Drosophila melanogaster: one gene and its partner. The protein of the gene in region 2 interacts with the protein of the main gene of each other region in a pairwise test. Each region holds a gene or a part of one and is shown on either strand. Other genes may lie near its edges. The genes, in order: CG8388 and Snp.

Region 1 (4,661 bases), 6.1 Mb from region 2:
TTGTGACTAGATTTTAAATAAATGTTTTCGTTTTGCAACAAAATAAATGCTATTTACCTAATTTTAAAAGAGCGAACATTTTATGTAGACAAATAGATTTTTGAGGAAAGCACCCAAAAATGTTTGCTTAAAGTCAAAAGATTACATTTCTTGATTTCAATCAATAGGTACTCAAAAATATAAGTAAGGGATAGATCAGTGGGAATCACTTAAACCAATGGGAATCACAGCCATCGAAGTGGTGATGCAAAAAAAAAGGTCAATAGATCATGGCAGATTTGCGTCGCACCATGTGTGGCTTGCAAAACTTTCCAAATATTCCATTGGTAAATAAGATGTTGCCACAGATGAAAAAACAAAACATCATAACGTGCCTAGTCATTTCTTTGGCACAGATTGAGGATTCCGCAGAAGACTAGAATGTGTACAAACACACACGCCGATTGATGATACCTTTGAACTGATACCATGATAATGCCAATTCGCTGATAAGGATTAAATCCACTTTTCCAAACCGACTCAAACTGGTTTCTCCGTCTGCCTGAGCCGTTGAAGCATCCCGGGTTGGTCGTCGTCAAAATAAGAGTATTTAAACTGAACCGTTGTGCTATATGCGTCTATATGTGTTATGAATTACCAGATTCGACCTTAATCGCTGATAACGCCAGCTCCGATGTCCGTTTTACCAGTTCGAGATGATCGGGGGGCAGATGGACAAACCAGTTTCAGCCGGTTGATCCCATCGACACAGGGATTTCAATTAATAATCACATAATTTGTTTACCCCGCCACTGCAGTCATCACAATAGGGGTACGGTGTCCCATTTGGTTTTTTATTGCGTCAAAAGGTCACCTAGGGCTAGCATTCTGCTCGAGGGCTGCTGGTAGTTGCTATCGCTTCTGCAGGTACCAACCCTCCATCCTGCCTGGTCTCTGTGGTCTTTCGTACGCTGACGGCGATGATGGTGTCTGATTTGCGAGAACGATTCAGTCGCTTGTGTCGGTTCTCCTCCCACTCCTTGCGGTGCACCTTTTTGCGGTGCGCATGCATGTTGGCATTTGAATTGAAGGTTTGCGGGCAATGGGGGCATGTGTACAAAACCTCGCCCGTGTGGGTTGTCATGTGTTCCTGCAAGAACAGTTCAAAATCAATTGCTTTCATCGGTCACTGATTTCGCTAATTACCTTTAGTTCATTTGGTCTCTTGAAGGCCTTTTCGCACATAGGACACTGATGACTACGTGCCGTATTGTGGGTGTACTTGATATGGTGCTGGTGTGCCTGTAGACTGGGGCATATCTTAAGACAAAATTCACACTGCATCGGCTGCAGGTTCTCAGCGGTATGCATCATTTTTATGTGGCGGGCCAGTCCATATTTGGTGGTTAGCATTGAGTCGCACAAGTGGCATTTGATTGCTGCCTGCGGCCCTCCCGTGTGCTCCTCCATGTGCCTGGCCAAGGCTTCGCGTCCTCTGATCGATTTTCCACAGACATCACAGATCTTGGCATATAAATTCAAATGGACCAGCTTAACATGTTGCTGCATCGTATACTGACTGGGATAACTGAAAAATACAAATGTAGCTATCTGAGAAAGAGTAAATCTTTCGGTCACTCACGTTTTCTCGCAGTGCGTGCAAGGGACCTTCCACTGCTCTCGTGGAATGTGAGTCAGCTTGTGGCGCTCATAGACGACGGCGCTGTAGAAGGCCTTGGAGCACTGTTCACAGCGGTATAGTCGTCCGCGAGATTTGATCTCATGCATGCGCATGTGCAACTCAAGACTTCGACGGTGGCCCATCACGCGGCCGCAGATGGAGCACTTAAAGGTTTCAGGGTCCTGGTGGCGGCGCAAGTGGTCGACAAGAACTCCCCGCTTAAGGAATTTTCGGTTGCAACACATTGCATAGCCGCGCTGCTTGTGCTCCCGTCGTACATGGGCCAGCATCTCGGAGAAGTCCTCCATTGGCAAGTTACAGATGTGGCACTGAACTTTATAGTGCTCGCGAATATAATCATTAAACTCTTGTGATTTCTGGATTTTGGGCAGACAGCTTGTATTGGGCCGTTCCGCGAGTTGCACGCGTCGACGACCTCTTGAGCGTCCGCTAACCTTTCGCTTAAGCGTCGGCGGTTTTTTCTCCAAAACCTCTGGATCCTCCGCTCCCTCCTTGCTGATGCAGTCGTCGGGTAGGAAATCCTGCTCCTCCTGATCCTCAAGCACATCGGCAATTGTCAAGTCAGCTTCGGGGAACTCGATTTTTATTTCATTTAAATTGATTTGCTCCAGCACGCTCTTCAACTCCTCGCGTGCATCCTGTTGAGCGACTTTTCGAGGACGTCCACGTCGGCGTTTGACGGCAGCGGCTACGCTGTCGTCATGCTCGCTTTTAACGATGTGCTCTTCTAGAGCGGAAGCAACCACTTCTGGCGGAGATGTCTCCTTCAAAACAGTTTGCTCCAGCGCTTTGTGGGCTTGTTCCACATTGAGGTAAAAGTTGTGAAAGAGCAGTAGCTGCTCCCAGCAGGGGCCGCACACATAGCCGGCTCTTTTTGAGTCAGGGATCTGAAAAAGATCACTCTTCAATAACAATAACAATAATAACACAGGTAATATTTGTTTGTTTACCTGAAGCCAGAAGTGTTTCTCGATGATGCACCGCAGGCCAAGTGAATCGGCTTCCTCCGAGGCAAACTCTATATTGCCCGCCGCATCATCCACAGTCTGAGTGCACAGAAAACAAGGCATTTGTGAGAGAGACGCGCGAAAATATACAAAAAAAATTATTAAAAATGTGTGTTATTCTACAAATGAAAACAGGGCAAAGCACAGCTGATTACTGTCATCGCTAGCGGCTATCGATAAGCGGCGCCAGAATAGTGGGACCATAGTCGTGTTTTTGAATTAAAAACTTCGGGTTATTTGTTTTCACTTGCTTATAATAAGCACTTAGATAAGCACTATCTGGAAAAGTAAACCCTAAATATTTTATTAAACGAATCTGTACTGACAGTTTCGCACATAAAAAGAAGGTGCATATCGCAATATCTGGAAGTGCGCAATATTTCCGAATATACGTTTTATGGCATTCGCAGAGAGGTCATACTGATTCAAAGTTTTGTGACTTTGGGATTAATTTATTTTAATTTAGGCTTTAATTCGCCTTAATTTGTTAAAACGTTGCTTGCGAAATGGCCACGCAGTTTGGGGAAATCTCTGAGACGAGCCGTTCAACTCGTCTCCACTGGGTAAATGCCATTTCGCCGGGCTTATCGGAACGCACTTTTACACCTGTCTTTAGACGCCATAAACAAATCCAGACGTTTTAATAACAGTCCACTTATCGCTGTTTACATATTTTTAGCCAGCTTAATCTCGACGAGAAACTCGGAGAGCACAGTCATGGATGTGCAATCGAGTCGCGTTGTCCCCGATGGGGGCTACGGATGGATTGTGGTGGCCGCCGTTGCATTGATTAATGTGAGTGTTCAATAGTCTTTAAAAGGAATACCCAAAACTAAACATATTTATTGCATATGCCGGCATCCAGATGACCAACCAATCCATTTTGTCAGTGTTCGGCCAGCTCTTTGTGGGTGAGCTGCAGAAAATGCAAGAGGACACATTTACGGCGGCCCTGATCACGAATCTAAACAGCCTAGCTCTCAATTTCTCTGGCCTCTTCATTGGACCCGCGATTAAGAGCTTTAAGCCGCGAAATGTAGCTGCTACAGGTTGCATCCTAGTCGCCCTGGGCCTGGCTCTGTGCGCCTTTGCCTCTGAAAGCTGGCACTTCATTCTGGGCTACAGTTTCTTCGTAGGCTTTGGACTCGGCCTCATCTCGCCGTCCACATTCATGGCCATTAACTCGTACTTCACCACTAAACGAGGACGGGCTGTAGGTGTTTCATTGGCAGGTGCTGGCCTTGGACAGGTGCTTATCCCTCACCTAGTGCGTTACCTCTTGGATAACCACGGCTTCCGCTACGCAGTCCTATCCATGTCTTCCCTATCACTATTTGGGGTAAGTTAAGAATATAATATTATGTTGATCCAATGCTTACAGCCCGAGTACCTTACAGCTTTTTGGTGCTGCCTTCTTGAAACCACTAAACCCACCTGCCAAGCACAACAACCGCAAACACATTCGACTCCTGACCGAGGCCGATGGGGAAAAGACTAGTCCCCTTCAGGTGGTGATTGTTCCGACTAATCAAAGCAAGATCGAGCGTAGCCCGCCAAATGTGGATACTCTGTGCAGCCGAATGGGACAGCGGTTGGTACAGGCAATGGATCTGGAGCTGCTCAAAGATTTAGTATTCTGGAGCATCATTGTGGGCATGGCTCTAGTCTATACGGCCACCATAAACTTCACGATGATCTTTCCTGGTTTTCTTGGACAAACGGCACAACTTAACAGCCAAATGGTGGCCTTCTGCATGTCCCTTGTGGCTGGCGCCGACATTGTGTTCCGTTTGCTGCTGCCCATCGTCACAGATCACCTTAGAATACCCTATCGCGTAGTGTTCCTGATCGGCATTGTTGGACTCTTTGTCGCTCGCTGTGTGCTTGCCGAGAATCAAACGCTGCCCGTGATCATCACCATGTCTGTGTTGACAGGCATGATGAAATCAGCCACTGTAATCAACAACAATCTC
Region 2 (4,945 bases):
AGATGTCCTGCAGCCAGTTGCCAATGATGTAGCGCTTAATGCACGGCATTACACCCAACTCCCGAAACACTTTAAGGCAATAAATTTGCAGGCGGGGATTATCCGTCGTCGAAGTCATGAGACGACCCACATAACACGGCAGTTGGGTGAACTCCCTGCTGCGCCACAATGCCCGCTTGCTATGGAGCCCATTGAGCAGGGCCAAAGCCGTATATTCCCAGTTCTCCACCTTCTGGCGAGGCAGCAACATTCGCGGATTCTCATCGGGCTGGGCAAAGACGTCGTAAAGCAGCTTTACACCATCCACGGCATCGAAACGCCGCTGACCCTCAGCACAGCAGAGTAGCAGCGCAAATGCCTTGGTGTTCATGTCCCAGAAGTTGGACAAGCGGTTTAGGATCCTCGAGTGCAGCAGCTCGAAGAGGCCCAGCTCGATGCCCCGATCGGGTGCCACTTCCAGCATGTCACACAGGTGATGCCACAAATGCAACGGGAATTGCGGACGGCATGGATCCTGTCTGAAGATCTCGGCTAAGGCGGAAAAGTTTTCAGGATCCTCCAGGAATATACCCAGAACTAGGAAAAAATATAACACCGTTAAATCCAATGAAGTGCATGCAGAGCTCACCTTTTGGCTTGCATGTCAAATTTCGCAATATCTCTGAAGCCAATTCATCCTTAATAGGCTCTTGGTTCTTAATGATTTTATAAAACTCCACCCTTAAGCACTTGCGGTTGGCTATATTTTCGGCTCCATCCAAATTGCGGGATAGTATATCTTTAAGAAATAAAAGCTTATTCTAAGAATTCACACAACCTTCAACTTACTATAAATCCTTAGATACATCTCCACCTCCCGGTGCTCCTCCTTGTGATGCTTCAATCTCATACGCATAAAGGCATTCTTCAACCTATTGGTAGGATAGAAACTGGATGATATCAAAAAAAAAAAACTCCTCAATGCAGACAACCCACTTTCTAACAAGGTCCATTTCAATGATAGCTCTTTGGGCATTCAGTGGATTTAGAACGAATTCCGACAACGATACGACTGCCTTCCAATGGGTCAGCCTAACATCACTATCCAGTTCTTTGAGCAATTTGGGCAGTGCAAACCAGCCGTAGGCCAGTTCAGCACGATCCGCCAGGTGCGTCGAGGTCGAATTGCAGCAGAGCGGCATACACTTGCAAATATTCCGTTTCTCCATATGATGCGTCCACTCTGTAATCCATTTTTTTTATGATTATCCTTCGCTGATTATATATCGCAACTAAATTACCCGTAGTCTGCAAGCTGTTTATGGAGGTCGGCTTCATCACATCCTTGATTTCGTGTTGCAGAAAGTGATTGCGATATCTCGCTAGCTGCTCCCACATTTTGGTTTAATGGTTTGTTGTTATTATAATGAGAAAATACAATACGTGTCAAATGCCAGAACTTTTTTCAAAAATCAACTTCTATTCTACGTTTCAACTTAACATTTCTGTTAGGAAAACTATGTTTCTGTACTGTAAAGCGCCATTGCGGCTGAGAACGTAACCCAATTGGTTGGAAGCTCAACTGCGTGTTGAATATTATGAAAAGGTTCGAAGCTCGGATGCAACAGCTGTTCGTCGCCTGAAATCGATATATCGCAATTTGGTTGATATATTTCGCCGATTCAATGCCGCTGCATTTGTGAACGGACGCCGAGCGAGTTACTACCGAATATTAGATGCGGACTGCAAGCGCAGCTATACGAGAATATACCGACAGGCACGCAAAATATGCAAATACCAGGAGTGCATCTCTATTGACCGGTCAAATACTCGGCTTGGCGGATAGTGCATTTGCAGTTGCAATTTCATCAATCGCCAAATGCACTTGACTGAAAGGCTGTACAAAAAAACAAAGAGAAAAAACCCAGTGTGCGTGCGGGAATATGTAAAAAAAAAACGAGTTAAATAAATAGCTAAATAACAAGCAGAAAGCAGAACGTAAGTATCGAAAAAGCGCAGTGTTTTTGTTGTGCCGGCTGAAATAAATTCGATTGTGTGCGCGCGCGTTTGTTTGTGTGTCGGCATGTGCGTGTGAGTGAGCAGACAACAAAAGGAATTCGGCTCGCTCAACTTCTTCCTAGTTTACCGTTACTTGCACTGCCAAAATCGCAAAAAATAAGGGGAATAGGGAGATAAATAAATAAGCCGACGAATTTCGAATAGCATAAATAGTAGCTCCTGCCAAAAAAAAAAAGAAGAAAAATCAGAGAAACGTCAGTCAAATCGAAAAACAGAAATGGCCTTGATAAAACTAGCAAGGTGAGTTTTTATTCTGTTTTCTCGCTAATATTACCTATAAAGTATGTGTATAGGAATTTTCCCGTTGAAAGTTGTAGTCCACCTTCTCTTTCTTTGCTTTTCCACTTAACAAACCGCAATTAAGTTGGCCAGGGGCGGAGTTTCCACCGAAAGGGGGTTTTTCCAGCACTTGCCCACGTAAATTGATTTTCTGTGGCCCCGTCATCCTGTCGTGCTGACCTGAACTGACCCCATTTTTCATTTCCATTTTCCGACAAAAGAACAAAGTCCGCAGCCTGAAAAATCCGGCCCTGGCCTTTTTTTTTTATTGTTGCCTCTTGGTCAACAGCAAAGCGCTTGAGGCCGTGTAATAACTTTCGGGCAAATATTTATTTCCCAGCAACGAGTTGTTGATATTGAAGTTGGTCAATGCACTTTGGCGCCCCTGAAACGCACTTCAAATATCGCTAAGTGTAATCAGGGACTCGGAAAAACGATGATAACAATAATTAAGCATATTGCAGAATCGTAGATATACATACAATTATATTTATGTATTTCAATTGTATGATAATATGATATACTTAATACCAGTACATTTACATTTACAAAAATAAACATCCTTGTGCTTAGATCCAAATTAATTTCGCATGAAATATTTTCGAAATCTTCATAATACCAGTTTCGCAACCAGATTAAACTACTTTTTAGAACACACAACGAACAATCGAATCTAATTTGAACAAGATCAATTCATAAACTTAAGAACACAGCGAACGTAGGATTATGATAATCTGAATTTCAAATGAACTGCTAATAATAGGAAAACTTACGTGAGGTCTGTGCAATTAATTCTGTTATTGTCTAACAACTAACAATGTATTTGTTTACCTTCTCGATTTCGTTTGTTGACTTTTCCAGCATGTACAACAACTAAACAAACTAGCTATCTGGCTATCGAATTTCCAACGCCATTATATCCACTATCCCCTTCACTATAGACTCCGATATTTATTTATTTGCTGTTTACGTTCGCAAAAAAAAAACCAAACAGTCGCAAATCACACATGATTAAATTAATCAAGCGGCGCACAGGCGTTAAGTTTGCGATCAGTTGATTGATGGCCCGCTGACTGATTGGCCGCGTGCTCAGCAATCAGAATTGGGACTATCCCATACGCCACATACACTTTGCCCGGAGGATCCGAGCTGCACTTGCTGCACTGTGAGTGCCCCACTTCTAATGGTCCGCACATAGTTGGAGCAGTGATTCACCTGACCCATTCCCTGGAAGGGGTTCGGTGGTCCAAAAATAACTCCCAGCCTTTCAGCAATTGAGATCAGAGTTGCTGGGACACGGACTTTGGTAATTGAGTGTAATTGGAAGTGAACACGAGACCACTCACTCCAATCCCCAGATCTCGGTGGCCAGATGACGGATGACAGGCCCAGTGGAAGCTGCAAAAGTGCAGCAGATTGCATCCACAAAGAATGTGTCTGTATCGCGGCCCGATGGCCCCAATATGTCCTCGCCTGACCTGCTAGTTCAATTTGCACATGAAACATACAGTATGTATTCTTCGAGTACCACCACCTCATATATGCATGTTTATATATATATATATATATATATATATATATATATTCATATTTATATGGCTGTGCAGTGGAAACTTTTGTGGACTACAATGAGAATGCAATAAAACTAAAACGGGAGGCTGCATTGATAAAGCGAGTAATCTATATGACGACATGGTCTCGAGTTACTCTGTAAATAGCACCCTGCGCACATGGAGCGTATTTACATACCACATATACATATATGTACGTACATACTATGTATCTGCGTAATCTCGGGCTGTTTGAAAGCCCTATTGTTATACGACTCGTGCTGGCGACTGTTTAATTTAATTATGACTGTTTCATTAATTGAAGTGCGTAGTATTCTATAAATGGAAATCTTGCGGCCGCAATAACAACGCGCATGGGGCATCAAATGAAAGCTTCCAATCAAGATCAGTGCTTTATAACTTTTGTCAATCTTAACTCAGTTCGATTTGTCACTCCACTTCAGCAAAGTCGTAGATCTTCGATTGATAAGCAGTACTTCCTTTGTCTTGGCCAAAATGCACCTGATCGATCAATGGGAGGTCTTGGCCATCCACTCGTGAGTAGACTCAGCTATCTTTGTAAAGTTGCGCAATTTCCAAGCTGGTCGCACATCGAATTCTAGTTCTCATTCCCACACGAAAACCCGTTTAAAAAAACAAACCAACAAACAAATGAGCTAATGTGCTTGAATACGCTTAAGATCGGTTTGAATATACATATAAGATCCGAATTTTGGGTGGTTCTCATATAAATTGTAATGCTATTTACGAATCTAGCTGTTATTAAGTAAAGGATCGCATTATCTATAATTTCAACACCTAAATGGCTAAAAACGTAGGCGCCTTTACGGCCAGTTTAAGATCGTAAACAAAGCTGTGCGAACTGTCTCAGTGGCAGTAGCAGAAACGGAATATACTTATTATTATTGCTCAGTTTATAGCTTATTATTTGCAACAATTGAATCAAACCAAACGTATGTACATATGTGGAGTGCCAGCCGCAAATTTGCAGCGCACAAATTAAAGATCAAACAGAGCAATTGGTCGCGGAGAAACCA

Evidence for each region.
Region 1: the proteins of Snp (region 2) and CG8388 interact in a two-hybrid assay, tested with the Drosophila melanogaster proteins (one large-scale study listed by BioGRID).

What each region holds. Positions count from the first base shown.
Region 1 is NT_033778.4:16,008,588-16,013,248, forward strand, and holds CG8388 (uncharacterized protein), read right to left. Parts: upstream 2,852-4,661; 5' UTR 2,752-2,851; coding exon 2,632-2,751; intron 2,569-2,631; coding exon 1,622-2,568; intron 1,568-1,621; coding exon 1,186-1,567; intron 1,130-1,185; coding exon 860-1,129; 3' UTR 814-859; downstream 1-813. Other genes in the region: CG8389 (uncharacterized protein), read left to right, coding at 3,406-3,483, 3,554-4,027, 4,086-4,661.
Region 2 is NT_033778.4:22,059,284-22,064,228, forward strand, and holds the start of Snp (snipper), read left to right. Parts: upstream 1-1,666; 5' UTR 1,667-2,275; coding exon 2,276-2,298; intron 2,299-4,945. Other genes in the region: CG13501 (uncharacterized protein), read right to left, coding at 1-576, 629-778, 829-911, 976-1,222, 1,281-1,377. UniProt on the Drosophila melanogaster protein: A broad-specificity exonuclease, capable of degrading both structure-specific DNA and RNA targets without sequence specificity in vitro. Requires two to five unpaired nucleotides in the 3' region for efficient binding and nuclease activity.